3 linked regions of the Schizosaccharomyces pombe genome follow. The gene in region 1 interacts genetically with each later gene. Each region holds a gene or a part of one and is shown in the gene's direction. Other genes may lie near its edges.

What was found.
Region 2: mutations in alp16 (region 1) and hmt2 together harm fitness more than expected from each alone (negative genetic interaction), as found in Schizosaccharomyces pombe (one large-scale study listed by BioGRID).
Region 3: mutations in alp16 (region 1) and ntp1 together harm fitness more than expected from each alone (negative genetic interaction), as found in Schizosaccharomyces pombe (one large-scale study listed by BioGRID).

Annotation. Positions count from the first base shown.
Region 1 is NC_003421.2:431,744-436,826, reverse strand, and holds alp16 (gamma tubulin complex GCP6 subunit Alp16), read left to right. Parts: upstream 1-2,040; 5' UTR 2,041-2,152; coding exon 2,153-4,432; 3' UTR 4,433-4,563; downstream 4,564-5,083. Other genes in the region: ribosome biogenesis protein Rix1, read left to right, coding at 1-890. UniProt on the Schizosaccharomyces pombe protein: Component of the gamma tubule complex that is required for the regulation of both interphase microtubules and mitotic bipolar spindles.
Region 2 is NC_003423.3:2,588,497-2,592,939, reverse strand, and holds hmt2 (sulfide-quinone oxidoreductase), read left to right. Parts: upstream 1-2,006; 5' UTR 2,007-2,460; coding exon 2,461-3,840; 3' UTR 3,841-3,936; downstream 3,937-4,443. Other genes in the region: DNA-directed RNA polymerase III complex subunit Rpc25, read left to right, coding at 94-180, 232-500, 635-682; tkt1 (transketolase), read right to left, coding at 4,362-4,443. UniProt on the Schizosaccharomyces pombe protein: Catalyzes the oxidation of hydrogen sulfide, with the help of a quinone.
Region 3 is NC_003423.3:204,528-210,148, forward strand, and holds ntp1 (alpha,alpha-trehalase Ntp1), read left to right. Parts: upstream 1-2,053; 5' UTR 2,054-2,550; coding exon 2,551-4,758; 3' UTR 4,759-5,114; downstream 5,115-5,621. Other genes in the region: protein wwm2, read left to right, coding at 122-943; protein Atg38, read left to right, coding at 5,275-5,298, 5,395-5,621.

The DNA of each region.
Region 1 (5,083 bases):
GAGATTCACAAGCAGTGATAGTACCTCATGCAATACGTATAATTTCTGGTCCATTAGGGCTTGTACATCCAGATCCTCTGGTCGCTTCACACGCAAGGTCATCGATGCAAACAATAGAATCGCTGATTCATCCTAGGTTCCCACCTTTGCAAAAACATCTTTCACCAAGCGAATTTGAAAATACGTTTGAGTCAAGATTTGAGCCTGTTTCTCTTGAAAACCAATCGCATATTTCTCCACCCCAGGTGGATTCTCAATCAGAGTATAAAGAAAGTAGTATTTTGGCTCCATCAAATCCTCCCTTTGAAACAGAGTCGATTACAGATTCCACTGAAATTGAAGGGATCAAAGAGTCTTTTGCATCTACAGATACAGGCTTACAGAATAATTCTACAGCTACCTCCGAGAACAAAAGAAGCGAATCAGAGCTGACTATGTCTAATGTTCTTTCTAATGAGGGTGACAGAAATGAAGAAGGTAGTGAAATCAACTCTTCTCAACCTTCAACTATTAATCACGGGACTGATCACATTAACATTGTTTCGGAAAACAAGGAAACAACTGTTTCACTGTTGCATGGAGATGTTGAGGTTGAGGAGACTACAAATGTTGCATTAAACAATTCTCAGGACACTGAAACCAAATTTACTGCTATAGACGTTGACTTTGTTGACCGACCTACTAGTGTAGTTTCAAGCCAAATTGAAAACATAAATGGTGATGAAAATGGAAACACAACTTCTTCAGTCGTCGAAACTTTTGAAAAAACAACGGATGTCGTAGATGAGAAAACGACTTCTATTAATGTGGAAGGAAACGGAGAAGATGATGAGGAGGAAGACAATATCTCTTTGCCAAGTATAAACTTGGAATCTGATAGTGATAGTTAGTCTTAATTTATAAAAAGGATTTGGGGGTACTGAATGTTTATTTTAAATTCTATTTCTAGATAAGTAGGTTGTCATTTAATCCAAGCTGATTTTTATAAAGTCCTGTATGTATTATCGTCATGGCAAAAAAGGTACATCAAGCTGATATTTGGAGGTTAAAATCAATTGATTTTGACCTCCAGAATACATTGCTTATGTGTTCTCCTTTTTAATTAGCTAAATTTTCCAGTAATACAAAGTACAAAGTCTTGTGTTATCCGCAAAAATTTTTAATTAATCATTTTTATACCATTGGTGTCACAAAAATCCCGATTATTTTAGAGTTAGACTGTCGTTTATGTTTTTTGAGAAAGAATTAAAACAACTTATCTAGTCTAGTGTTTAAAAGAATTTTATACTGTTTCATTAAGAATAATGAAGATATCCCTTTCCAAAGGCAAAAGAAAAGTCGATAACTATATAATGCAAGCTTCTAAACAAACTTGAATTAGTGATTGCAACATTTCTTTTGCCAACAATATTTAAATCCTTCATTGCTTGACACATGGTTTTATGAGAAAAATTAAGAAAGAACATTAAGTACTTCAAATAAATTTGTTGAAGGATCCAAAATTCTCCAAATAGACTTTTTTTATATGAAGATACCATTCATTCAGCTTTGACTCGCATGCGAGCTCTCTGGACAATAAACGATCAAGCCAGCGAGGTATACTGTAACCATAATATCACGAATAGTACAATAAACTTTTTTTTAAAAAAATCTAAATGTACTAACCAGAGAAGCATAAAAGAGCTCTTATAGTTCCATAAAGGATACGTTTTATCCACATAGCACTCTCTTAAAATTAAATGCTGGAATGTCGTTTTGGATAGATTATGCAATTGTGCAATAGTAATTCCTTAACAACTGATAGTTTTTGTTCAATTTATCATTCTGTTTTATTCATCCTGGATACCTTTAACTCCATGTCAGTATTTTCTGTTGTACGGCCACGAGAGTACGGATTTTTGAATTGGTTTCAATGTTAGGATCAATTACTAACGTTCCATTTCTTAGTTTAAGAGACGCATACTTCATTCACATCTTCTAATCCTGACTGTTCTAGATAAGAAGTCATCTTAATTCGCTACGTTAACAACATTATACATTAACTACACACATATTGCCAAATTTTAGTAATTCATAACAAGAGTGTTTTCCAGTAAAGGAGTTGGATCTTGAAATGTACCACTAAAATAGATGATTTTGAAATAAAAATGGAATGGATGGAATTATGAAAAACGACTTGTTATGGTTCGGCAACCACGTTTTCGACCTTACGCCAAATTCATTTGATTCTGATTTTGTCGAGCAGCTTTCGAAATTTGAGGGAAAAGAAGGATTGAAGAGGAAGTTATTTGACTCCTCGGAATACTTTCAAAACTTTTCATTTCAAGTAAACGATGATCTGTTGGGAAAAGATGTCATTCTCGATATTTCAAATCAACAACTAACACCCGCTGTGCCTGGGTGTGAGACATCATCCAATTCCAAACTCATAAGCGCATCTAAGGAAATTACTTCAGAAAGAAAAAGAGCTAAATCCTCAGTGTCCCCCTCTTATCTTACAGATTCATCACCCAGCGATTTATCTGTCGAAAACAAAGTTCTGCTAACATGCCCTAGCTGGGATGGAGAAAATTTTAAAAATTTAGAAGCTAGATCTCCATTCATATCTGAAGCGCCTTCTCGGGTATATGATTATTTTCTTCATAATCAGGATTGGAGTCCGAAACCATTATTTTCTGCACTGCAAGTTTACCCTTTAGCAACTATTTTCAATTGCGTGGCTGGTTTACCACAAGGATTTGAAAGCACAGTGTTTCCATGGAACAAAACCTCAAGCACATTTGAACTCGATCCGACCATCTCCGTTTCAGGAATGTCCGATGAATGTTTTGCTAGTATCGTCCAGAAATTTTCTGCAATTGGGGGTTTAATAAAAAAAGCTTTAAATGAATTCTCTTTATACAAGACCAACATTTCTTTTTATTTATCAAATTTCATTGTGAATGGTGTCTTGCAGTATCGAAAGGAGTTTCAGCGTTGGCTTCGTCTTTATGAGTTCCGTAGATTCGGTCTGATTGGTTTAAGTAACTTTGTTAATTCTTTTTCTTCATTCTTTGAGTTAATTTCACACTTCTTAATAAAATCGGCTCAAAACCTAAAAGGAGATTCCTTGTTAGATTTTCTTTTTGATTATGCGCGTTCATGTCAGAATACCATATCTTACCCCATTGCCCTACAGTGCTTGATATATTGCTCAAATCCCTACTTCAAAAGGCTTGAGCTTGCTTTAAAAGTTTCTTGTGCGTATGGTCACATTGATTCTTCATTGTTCTTATCACTTCCCCGTTTTTTTCCTTCTGAACTTTGTGTAAGCATTGAACAGTGTATTCAATTTTTGTCATTAATAAGGGAACAAAAAGAAATATTTAATAAAAACAACAAAGAATTTATTAACCCTTTGAACATTCGGTTCGCATATTCTTTCAACGACATAAATCAAGCTTGTGTAATAGAGGAGCGCTGCAACTTTTCTTCGCTTTCTTTTGGTAATTTGGAACAAACTTCCGTCAATAATGACAGTGAAGAATTTGAAACGCTGCTTGCTAAAATGAACATGACTCCAGATTTCAACGATAATTTATTACAACTTAAATTTACAGATGATGTGCGCAACGTCTGTCCGCTTAACTTGAATGTTTGCTGCTGTATTGCTGAGCCAATACAATCTTTTATTCTCAGTTTCTTACGTTCGACATATAAAGTTTTAAAAAACGATTTTCAGGTGTTTGATCTTTTAAATTTTTTTCATTCCACTTTTCTTTTTCAAAATTATGAATTCTCTGATAATGTCATTTCTCTGTTAAAATCAAGAAGGCTTGATAAATCTGACCGTAATGAGTTGGCTGAGGACTTGAACTCTGATGACAGATATAATTTTATTTCTCGATTGAAAAAATTCATTTTTATGGAAAAAGAAAAAAATGGGTTGAGCAGGTCTTTATCTAAGAGTATAACTTTTACATTGGATTCTGCGAGCGTTAGTGAATTTGAGGATGTGTACCCTGATTTACAATTCCAATGCCAAGTAATAGGTGCTTTACGGATATTATTTACTGATAACTCTTTAAATTATTATTCGAAAACTTTTTCTTACGTTTTACATCTCTTTCAAGCTCAATCAGACTTTGAATCATCTGTCGAATTGAAAGATCGTTCTATAGTAACAAAAACAACTATTATGTCATGGTCTAAGTATCAAGGCACGAAAGAATCTCTTTTTCAGTTTCTTTCAATATACATTCCAGAGTGTATGTTGCCTTTTACGAAATTACTGAAATCCATATATTCTCCTGACTGTCCTACGAACATACAAAATTCTGCAATTAAAAATGCGGCTTCAGTTCACGAGCAGTGCACTAAAGCAATTTATCAAAAGGTCAAAGAGTTGTTTGATACCATGAAACTCTGGGAGTCATCCATCAAAGTGTCATAACAAAAAACCAGATCCGGATGACGGATTTTTACGAGTGTAAACATGCTAATCTCACCTTTAAGTTTGAAGAATATACGATTTTACAGCAGAAAAAAATTTATAAGCACAACACTTACAGAAAATTCCTTGCATAAAATGATAAAGAATGTAAAGAAGTATTTGGATAAATTCATGAGTAAAGTATTTACTAGAGATATATCTTAATCTAAGTTTAAACAACCTGTGCCAAACAAAAGGAAATTAATTTAACAAAGAAAGGGATGAAGAATTAAAAGGAATCAAAATAGAAATGAACAGTCAAGCTTATGATTGATTGTTTGAAGATCAAACATATCAAGGTAAAGTGCCATGATCACAGGAAAATACGCAATGTAGTTTAGTAAGTTATTTTGGTGCAAAAATATATGCGCTTTAATGGTGGAACATACCAGTATGTCCCACTTAATTTGCTCGTTCAAAAAATGCATGCAAAAAAAAAAAAAAAGATACAAATCTGTAAATACCTCACGCAAATATAAGAGTGCAAATAAAGACATGTTGAGAAAAGAGTAGAGGCAAAAGCCAAAAGATAAAAATCTTACTGGACGCCTATCACTTTGGTGAAGTTGAGGGTAAACGGACAAGGAATGCATGAAAAAGGAAGGAGGTAAG
Region 2 (4,443 bases), on another chromosome or scaffold:
ATTTCATATGCCAATTCGCATTATCAATACGAAAGGCTGTCAGGATAGTGATTCAGTGGAAAAGAAAAACTTAAATGGTTCTAATTAGATTAGTGGTTTTCCGCCTTATAATCTTTCGTCCTTTTCGAGGTGAAGTAATGCTGGGAAAAATAAAATCGTGCAGTGAAGAAGGTATTCGGGGTATGTTAAATGTGTTTGTTTAAATGCTTGTTGTTAATGTTTTTCTCCCAGTAACTATTAGCTTTTTTGACGATATTTTCATTCCGAAAGATATGCTTTTCGATCCATGTGTCTTTCGTCCGGATGAGCGTGCCTGGGTATGGAAAATTGAAGGGGAGGACGGCTCAGAGGGAACCGAATTGTATTTTGACATTGATGAAGAAATACGCTTTCAAATAGAATCTGAGGACTTTGTTGATATTTCACCTAAGAGGAATAAAAATGCAACCGCGATTACAGGCACAGAAGCATTGGAATCGGTATCCCCATATACATTGATTGTAAGTTTTTTTTTTTATGTTTAGGGCGAAACTTGTGTCATTATTTATGAAGGGTGCACCATCTATTTGCTAGTATACAAGAAAATATTTTCTGCTTCTCTCAAATCGATAGAATTTACTAACTATATATTTAGGCTTCCTGTTCTCGTGATGGACTGGGCATTCCTGCTTGGTGGAAATGAGCTATTGGATTCGAATCAAAGTCAAACAAAATTTAAAAGCATCAATTAATCATTTACTCCAAATTGTATAAGTAGACTTTCATTCATGTTCTATTTTTCTTCATCTAATGCATCACCAAAATTTCCCAAAAATCACGTGGTCTAGAAAATGGTTGCAATTCTATTCTGTACATTCATCCCGTCTTATAAATTTCATTGCCGAAGGTTTTTGCACAAACCTTTTGGGGTTTTATTATTTCGTTGGAGATACCTGTGTTGTTTTTAGACATGTCCTACTTAAAGGTTGCTTTTAGTGAAAAAGGGTTATTTATAAATCAACTACTTCTTTTTTTTTTTTTTTTTTTAGCTTTTCTCTATTTAAAGGTATATTATTGTATCGAAAAATCAGTTTGTTTACATCTTTGCACAGCAACACATAATGGTTATGAAAACGGCGTTCTTCAAAATTTACCTTCTTGGATGATCATGGTATTTGCTAACAGGGGGCTACTTTAATAAAGGTACTTTCATGTCAAGCTTAAATTTAATCTGGTTAAAAGAGTCATATGTTCTAAAACTTTATATTCAATCTAACAACTGAAGATTCCGCACTGCGTAAAGGAATTTTTCAATGTTAAACAAACGATCCATGCTATGTATGATTTGATTGATTTTGGTATTGTGTATACTAATGTTTAGTAGTATTACCGAATATGGAAAATTTAATTAATTACACAAAAGAGCCGATTCATTTTATAGCATAATAGAATATCAGTCTACTTTTTATGAACAATGTTTGCTTCTTCAGCAAAGAATGTCCATCGCCAACCCACGTTACTCTTTAGTACAGCCGATTTTCGTTATATGTCAGAAAATAGCAACCTTAACATTTCAGCGCCTTGCTATTTGCTATTTGAAAATGACCAACAGCAATTTGACAAACTTCTAATTTTGTTGTATTTGTGCACAAATGCATGGACGTTATAAAGGATTCTTTCGGCTACTGTACTACTTTAGGGATAAACGAATATTTTTGCAAAATTAAAAATACACATACCCACAAAATCATTCACTTTCTTACTTCTAGTACTATTATTAATTTACGGAAACATGCATTAAGCAGCTTTTATGAGTTCCTTAAGCCTCGATAGCTTTTGCTTTACAAACTTTAATGAAACTTAGCAAATCCACGTGATTTGCCCCTAAAATGAATAAAGTTATGCCACATATTTCGGAATCACAAGCAAAGCGCAAGCACTTGACAAAATTGCGTAACCGATTACGCCTTCGGAGCTGACGTGAGTTATCGACTGAATATAAACACCTTATGCTGCTAATTCTGATTAGTCGACTGTATTTGCAAATATTTTCTACATAGGCTTGTCTTCCGTTAATTCTATTTTGTACACTACACCATTCTTTTTAGACGACAGCCGGTAGACTAAATTGTGCTTGTTTCTTGAACAATTAAAGTACATTGAAGAGTGCATATAAAAGAAATAAAAAATTTTTTTTTTTCTTTTACTTCGCTTGAGTCAAAACAGACTAGCACTTATTCTAGTACACTTGAAAGGTGGTGCTTGTTTGACTACATTCTTTGATATTGTAATCAAAAATTTTTTTTTTAAAAATTCCTTTTCTCCTGATTTACTTATTGAGGTGTTAAATTCTTGAAATTTTAAACGCGTTTTTTCCGCTCAACCTCTGTTTTCTTGTGTTTTATTAGGCTACTTTTTGCCTCCTTTTTTTTTCCTTTACCTTTAAAAAAACACTTCTCTTTTGCATTTTTGCAACTAAAAATGTTGACCTTAAACTCAACAATCAAGTCGGTCACCGGCTCATTTCAGTCCGCTTCCATGTTGGCTCGATTCGCCTCTACCCATCACAAGGTTTTAGTAGTTGGTGGTGGATCCGCTGGTATATCCGTCGCCCATCAAATTTACAACAAGTTTTCTAAATACCGCTTTGCCAATGACCAAGGCAAAGATACATCCCTCAAACCCGGTGAAATTGGTATTGTGGATGGTGCCAAGTATCATTATTACCAACCTGGTTGGACTTTGACTGGTGCTGGATTGAGTTCTGTTGCTAAGACCAGACGAGAATTGGCTAGCCTGGTTCCTGCTGACAAATTTAAACTCCATCCTGAATTTGTTAAATCCTTACATCCTCGTGAAAACAAAATAGTTACTCAAAGTGGTCAAGAAATTAGCTATGATTATTTGGTTATGGCAGCTGGTATTTATACTGACTTTGGCAGAATCAAGGGTTTAACTGAGGCTTTGGATGACCCCAACACCCCTGTAGTTACTATCTATTCAGAAAAATATGCTGACGCTGTTTATCCTTGGATTGAAAAAACCAAGTCTGGAAATGCCATTTTTACTCAACCCAGCGGTGTCTTGAAGTGTGCCGGCGCTCCACAAAAGATTATGTGGATGGCTGAAGATTATTGGCGTCGTCATAAAGTTCGTTCCAATATTGATGTATCCTTCTACACTGGTATGCCTACTCTTTTCTCGGTTAAGCGCTATTCTGATGCCCTTCTTCGCCAAAATGAGCAATTACATCGCAATGTCAAGATTAATTATAAAGATGAGCTTGTTGAAGTTAAGGGATCTGAACGTAAAGCCGTATTTAAGAATTTAAACGATGGCTCTCTCTTCGAGCGTCCTTTTGATCTTTTGCATGCCGTCCCCTCTATGCGTTCTCATGAGTTTATCGCAAAGAGTGATTTGGCTGATAAATCTGGTTTTGTTGCTGTTGATCAATCTACTACACAATCGACCAAGTTCCCCAATGTTTTCGCTATCGGTGATTGCAGTGGTTTGCCAACTAGTAAGACTTACGCTGCCATTACTGCACAAGCTCCTGTTATGGTCCACAATCTTTGGAGTTTCGTTAATGGAAAGAATTTAACTGCATCATACAATGGTTACACTTCATGCCCGCTACTCACTGGCTATGGTAAGCTTATCTTGGCCGAATTCTTGTACAAACAAGAACCTAAAGAATCTTTCGGTCGCTTTTCTCGTTTCCTTGACCAAACTGTACCTCGTCGCATGTTTTATCACCTTAAGAAGGACTTCTTTCCTTTTGTTTACTGGAATTTCGCCGTCCGCAATGGTAAGTGGTATGGCAGCAGAGGTTTGATTCCTCCTCACTTTCCTGTTAATTAAAGATTCAATCATCTTTCTTGCGTAAAATAATGCAATCTGCTAGGCATGATTTAGTAGCAACCCTTATATAATTGAATGTTACCCCCTTTCCTTACCATACCTTTACTAGGTTTATCTTTGATTAGAAAAACAGTGTTGATTATTAAGTACTCTAAAGTTATGTACGTCTGTGAATGTTTGAATAAAGTTATTAAATAAATATCAACTTTTTACTTCTAATTTTAAATATGAATAAAAATAGTTTGTAATACATCAACTATAAACGCCAGTAAACTGCACTTACATTGACTAAAGTAGATGCAAAATTATTGTAATACTCTACTCACAATTCCAACTATATCGTCGAATATCATATATACAAAAATATATATATTTATGCATTCATATTTTGCTCACATTTATAGACTTACATTCAAATAAAGACAAAACACAATTCACTCATAACTACTTCCTTCCGCACGAATTGAATTCTAAGCCAGCAAATCAATCCTAAAAGAATCTAGAGAAAAAATGCTACTAAATTAGAAAGCACGGCGGACAGGGGAACGAATATAAGGGATATCCTTGTAAGCATCAACAGTCTTTTTGGCACGTTGAGCAACA
Region 3 (5,621 bases), on another chromosome or scaffold:
GAGTGATTTTTGAATATCTGCCTATAACATTTTTCTTTTCTTTGGTTAGAATCTTTCTAAGCCTCTATATCGTTTATATAGGTTTTTACTCTGTGTCTTTACAGAATTAATCATATAAAAAATGTCTGTCTATCAAACTCGTGAAGGTTTGCCCAGTGGATGGGTTGCTCAATGGGATGCTGAATATGGAACATACTTTTATGTTAACGAGTCAGCTCAAAATCCACAGCCCCAATGGGAACCACCAGTCGAAAATCTGAAACTTGCTCCTCCTCCAGGAGCCACAAGCGTTAATACAGCTGTGTATAATAACAATAACAATACTTCTGCTGCGAATACGAATGCTGCATACAATGCTAATACTGCTGCAAATGCCAATGCTAACACTGCCACGACTACCAATGCTGCCGCTACTACCAGCGCTGCATATAACCCCAATGCCCCTGCCAATACCAATGCTGCATACTATCCTAATGCTGCTGCCACTACCACTACCAATGCAGATGGTAGTGATAAAGGGCTGTTCAGTGGGCTTACCTCTTCTAATGGCTACACCACTGGCAACTCTTACAGTAGACCAAGCTACGTTGCTCCTGTCGCTGCAGGGTTAGGTGGATTGGCCTTAGGTGGCCTGGCTTCACACGCACTTGGCAATCTCTTTCACCATCGTGGTCATAACGGTGGTGGTTTCGGAGGTTTTGGTGGTGGTTCTGGCGGTCCTCCTCCTGGTCCTGGTGGATTTGGAGGCTTTGGAGGCTTTGGAGGTGAAGGCCATCATCATGGTGGTCACGGTGGCTTTGGAGGCGGCCCTGGAGGTTTTGAGGGCGGTCCTGGTGGCTTCGGAGGCGGTCCTGGCGGCTTTGGAGGCGGTCTTGGAGGTTTTGGAGGAGGCCCCGGAGGCTTTGGGGGTGGTCCTGGAGGTCATGGCGGTCCTGGTTGGTGAGACTGAGAAACATGGAACTAAATATTTGTTTATGAGCTTTTTATGTGAGTATATTGCGCAATAGATATTAAGTCGATACCGTTAAAAAATTTTTTATGTTTATACTCAGTTATTTTGCTAAAGTGAAATTGAATTTTATTAAGGTAGGACTTTCTGAAAGTATTAAGTAGAGCTGGGCAATTTTAGAAGTGCACATAGAAAAGCTCGCAAGCAAGCAATTTTGATATCCCTGTGTTGTTGTTTTTTAGGTTTATGTAGGAATGATTCAATGCAACAGTTTAGATATAGGTAAACATAAGTGCTGTATCTATAGCTGTGGAAACAATTCATGCTTGTTCATACGTAACATTTTATGCGCAAGTATTAAAAGATTCTAAAAAATATCTATTATGTTCATTATCTCGCACACGTCAAACCCAGTCTACTTCGAAATGCGTACGTGTATACTTTGGCTGTATACAATCTGAAATTTGAAATTTAAAGCTGTCAGATTAGCTTCTATTAATATTGCGTAAATCGGTTAGTTCAGAGTCTTTTATCCCAATACTTCGTCAGATTTGTATACTTTCTTCATTAAAAGTACATGTTTATCTTAACATAGAAGAGGTAAGTACCGCTAATTAACCGAATTGCAACTTGTAATTATAACAGCCAAATCATTTCAAACCAGAAGAGTGCAAGTTTAAAAAAAAAACCGATAGAACAACATACAGTGCCGCATTCAAACTACACATACATAGGGTTTCATCTCGTGGTATATAACGAGTCAATAGAGCATTCTCAATGTTAAAAAATACGGAATATTGTGGTTCTTTACAAAACTCATTACCTTCTCAATAGTACCACTAAAATCAGTGATAACTGTTTCAGAGGCGTCCGTATATACCTTTTTTACTGTTGTATCTTAATTAGCCAATTTTCTCGTATCTTCTTTCTATGTTTCAGCTCATTGTTTTGATTATAGCGATGGTGTTCACCGTTGCTGCTATCCTATTGCCGCATCCTTAAACTTCCATAAGCTCTATAGGTGTCAGGTAGACTACGTCATTGAGTAACGAACTACATCAGCGTAAATTTGGTTTAGAATGTATGAGAACTTAGCAACTCCAAACCACAAATATCAACGACAGGATTATAGACTGATACATAGAAGAAACTAGCAGTTCTTTTAAAATTTTTTTAGGATTTAACGATTTATACCTATTGGGGTACTAAGAATTTGGTAGAGTTACTCAAATTCAGTTAAAGACACGGATTTTCCTTATACGTAATTAGTGTCGATTTTCTGAAATCTTGCTTGCTATTTTATAGCTTAGAACGAAAAAGCAGGAATTTGTTTTGTTTTGTTTTTTTAAAAAAAAAAACACTTTATCTTGTGAATTGCTTTGGAAAGTGAGCGTATTCCTCGTAGGAGCTTTTGAATTTTTGATATATCGTTAGCTTGTAGTGAAGGAAACGGAAGCCATCAACGGAATAACCTTGTTCTCCATCATTTGCTATCATTCGTGAATAGGAACAATAAAGAGAAAAAAAATACATTTTTAAAGAAGTTTATATATACATTGATCTAATAGTGAAAATATTTAACACGAATAAGTTTGTTTCATATGCCTTCGAAATTTTCCTCTAAATACGTGGATACAGAAGCCATTTCAAATGATGATGACAATCCCTTTGCAACCGCTAAGAGTTATTACTCCAAGGATACAGACTTGTCGACTCGGGTAAGTGCTGGCCGTCCTCGCACCTTATCCACTTCGATGGAGGCATCCGCCGCACCAACTATACCAGAATTAAAGAATTTACGTCGACGTGGAAGTCTTGATGAACATAAACAACCACGAAAATTTCTTGTTGATGTTGATAAGACATTGAATGCACTTTTGGAATCTGAAGACACCGACCGGAACATGCAAATCACCATCGAGGATACCGGACCTAAAGTTGTTTCCCTTGGCAGCGCTAGCTCGGGTGGATATCGCTTGTATGAGCTTCGCGGCACATATCAATTGTCAAATTTACTTCAGGAATTGACCTTGGCAAAGGATTATGGACGTCGATATATTTTACTTGATGAGCGAAGACTTAATGAAAACCCTGTGAACCGACTTTCTAGACTCATCAAAGGTACCTTTTGGGATGCCCTTACTCGAAGAATCGATGCCAGTGTTTTGGATGTTATTTGCCGTGATACCAAAGACCGATCAGGATCACACGTGAATCGAATTTATGTTCCTAAAGCCGAACAAGAGATGTATGAATACTATGTTCGCGCTGCTAAGGAAAGGCCTTACTTGAATTTACAGGTCGAATATCTGCCGGAAGAGATTACTCCAGAATGGGTGAGAGATGTAAATGATAAGCCAGGGTTACTTGCACTTGCAATGGAAAAATACCAAGATGATGAAGGCAATACACATCTTCGAGGTGTGCCATTTGTCGTTCCTGGTGGCCGGTTTAATGAACTGTACGGCTGGGACTCTTACTTTGAATCACTGGGTTTGCTTGTTGACGATCGGGTTGACTTGGCGAAAGGTATGGTGGAGAATTTTATTTTTGAAATTACCTATTACGGTAAGATCTTGAATGCCAACCGCACTTATTATCTTCTTCGCTCCCAGCCTCCATTTTTGACCGATATGGCCCTTCGAGTTTATGAACGTATAAAAAACGAAGAAGGATCTTTAGACTTTTTGCATCGGGCCTTTTCTGCGACTATAAAAGAATATCACACTGTTTGGACTGCCACTCCACGACTGGATCCCAAAACTGGTCTTTCCCGCTATCGCCCTGGAGGACTCGGTATTCCTCCGGAAACTGAAGCTTCTCATTTTGAGCATTTGCTTCGTCCTTACATGGAGAAGTATCATATGACTCTTGAGGAGTTTACTCATGCATACAATTACCAACAAATTCATGAACCCGCGTTGGATGAGTATTTCGTGCACGACCGCGCAGTTCGCGAAAGCGGGCATGATACTACTTATCGGTTGGAAAAAGTTTGTGCTGACTTGGCCACCGTGGATCTGAACTCGTTGCTATACAAATATGAAACCGACATCTCACATGTGATTTTAGAATATTTCGATGACAAGTTTGTACTTCCAAACGGAACTATAGAAACTTCTGCCATTTGGGATCGTCGTGCTCGTGCTCGTCGTGCTGCAATGGAAAAGTATCTTTGGTCAGAAGCTGATTCGATGTGGTATGATTACAACACGAAGTTAGAAACGAAGAGTACTTATGAAAGTGCTACTGCTTTCTGGGCCTTGTGGGCCGGTGTGGCAACTCCCCGTCAAGCCGCAAAATTTGTTGATGTTAGTCTTCCCAAGTTTGAAGTTGCTGGAGGTATAGTTGCTGGTACAAAGAGAAGCTTGGGTAAAGTGGGTCTTGATAATCCCAGCCGTCAATGGGATTATCCTAATGGCTGGAGCCCTCAGCAGATTTTAGCTTGGTATGGATTGATTCGATACGGATATGAAGAGGAGACTCGTAGACTTGTATATCGTTGGCTATATACTATTACTAAATCGTTTGTTGATTTTAATGGTATTGTTGTTGAAAAATATGATTTGACCAGACCAGTTGATCCACATCGTGTTGAAGCTGAGTATGGTAATCAGGGTGTCAATATCAAAGGCGTTGCTCGCGAAGGTTTTGGATGGGTTAATGCCAGTTACGAAGTCGGCCTTACATTCTGTAATTCGCATATGCGTCGGGCTCTTGGTGCTTGTACGACTCCTGATGTTTTCTTTGCCGGCATCAAGGAAGAATCTCTTCCTGCTTTCGAAAACCTTTCCATTCATAAAAATTAAGTTATCGTTTGCTTGAAAAAAATAATCGACTTTGTCTACTTTTTTAGTTGCCTTTAGCTTTATTCTCTTATTATGTTATTTTGGTTATCGACCGGTTAAAACCCATTGTTATGTTACATGTTATACCTTCCATTAAATCCTTCTACTATGAAGGTTCTATTTGGCGAATATTCCCTTACGAAACAATAGTTAATTCTATTTAAATTTATGAGTAAAGCTTATCACCAGCGATATTATTACTTTTTTACTTAAAAGAAAGAAGTAGTAAATGAATTTTTTACCTTACGATTCAATTCTAATTTATAATTTCCATGATAGTACTGTTGTTGCAGTTTTAGTCCGAATATAACTCTAATGTTTAATTTGGTGTCTATCACTTTATTAGTTTTTTTTTTGAAGGAATTGTCTTCTAGAAACTTATTTTGAGTTAATGTACCGTATTATGTCGTTCACATTTGTAGACAACATAAGTTGGCCACTTCCTTACACAACAACAGTATATTATTAAAATGTGTTATGGTTCGATATTCATTAAGAAAGGTAAGAGATGCTTAAAGAGATAAGGATATGAGTAAATTTAGTGTTTGAAGTTCGTAATTATCGTTCGCTTTTGAATGTGAATGTTAACAAAATTAGGCGCATGAATACGCCCGAGATGGGGAAAATCAGGAAGTTTTGGGAGAAATTTCACAAGCAATTATGTATTATGGATTAGCAAAAAGTCAGTTTGAAAAGATATGTCAGAACACAGCTCAGCCTCTTATTAAAAGATGCGCAAATAACCAAATCGAAGAGTTGATGGTTCGTATACGCGAGTTACGAGAATCATTGCCAAACAAACAAACACCAATATCAATGTCAAT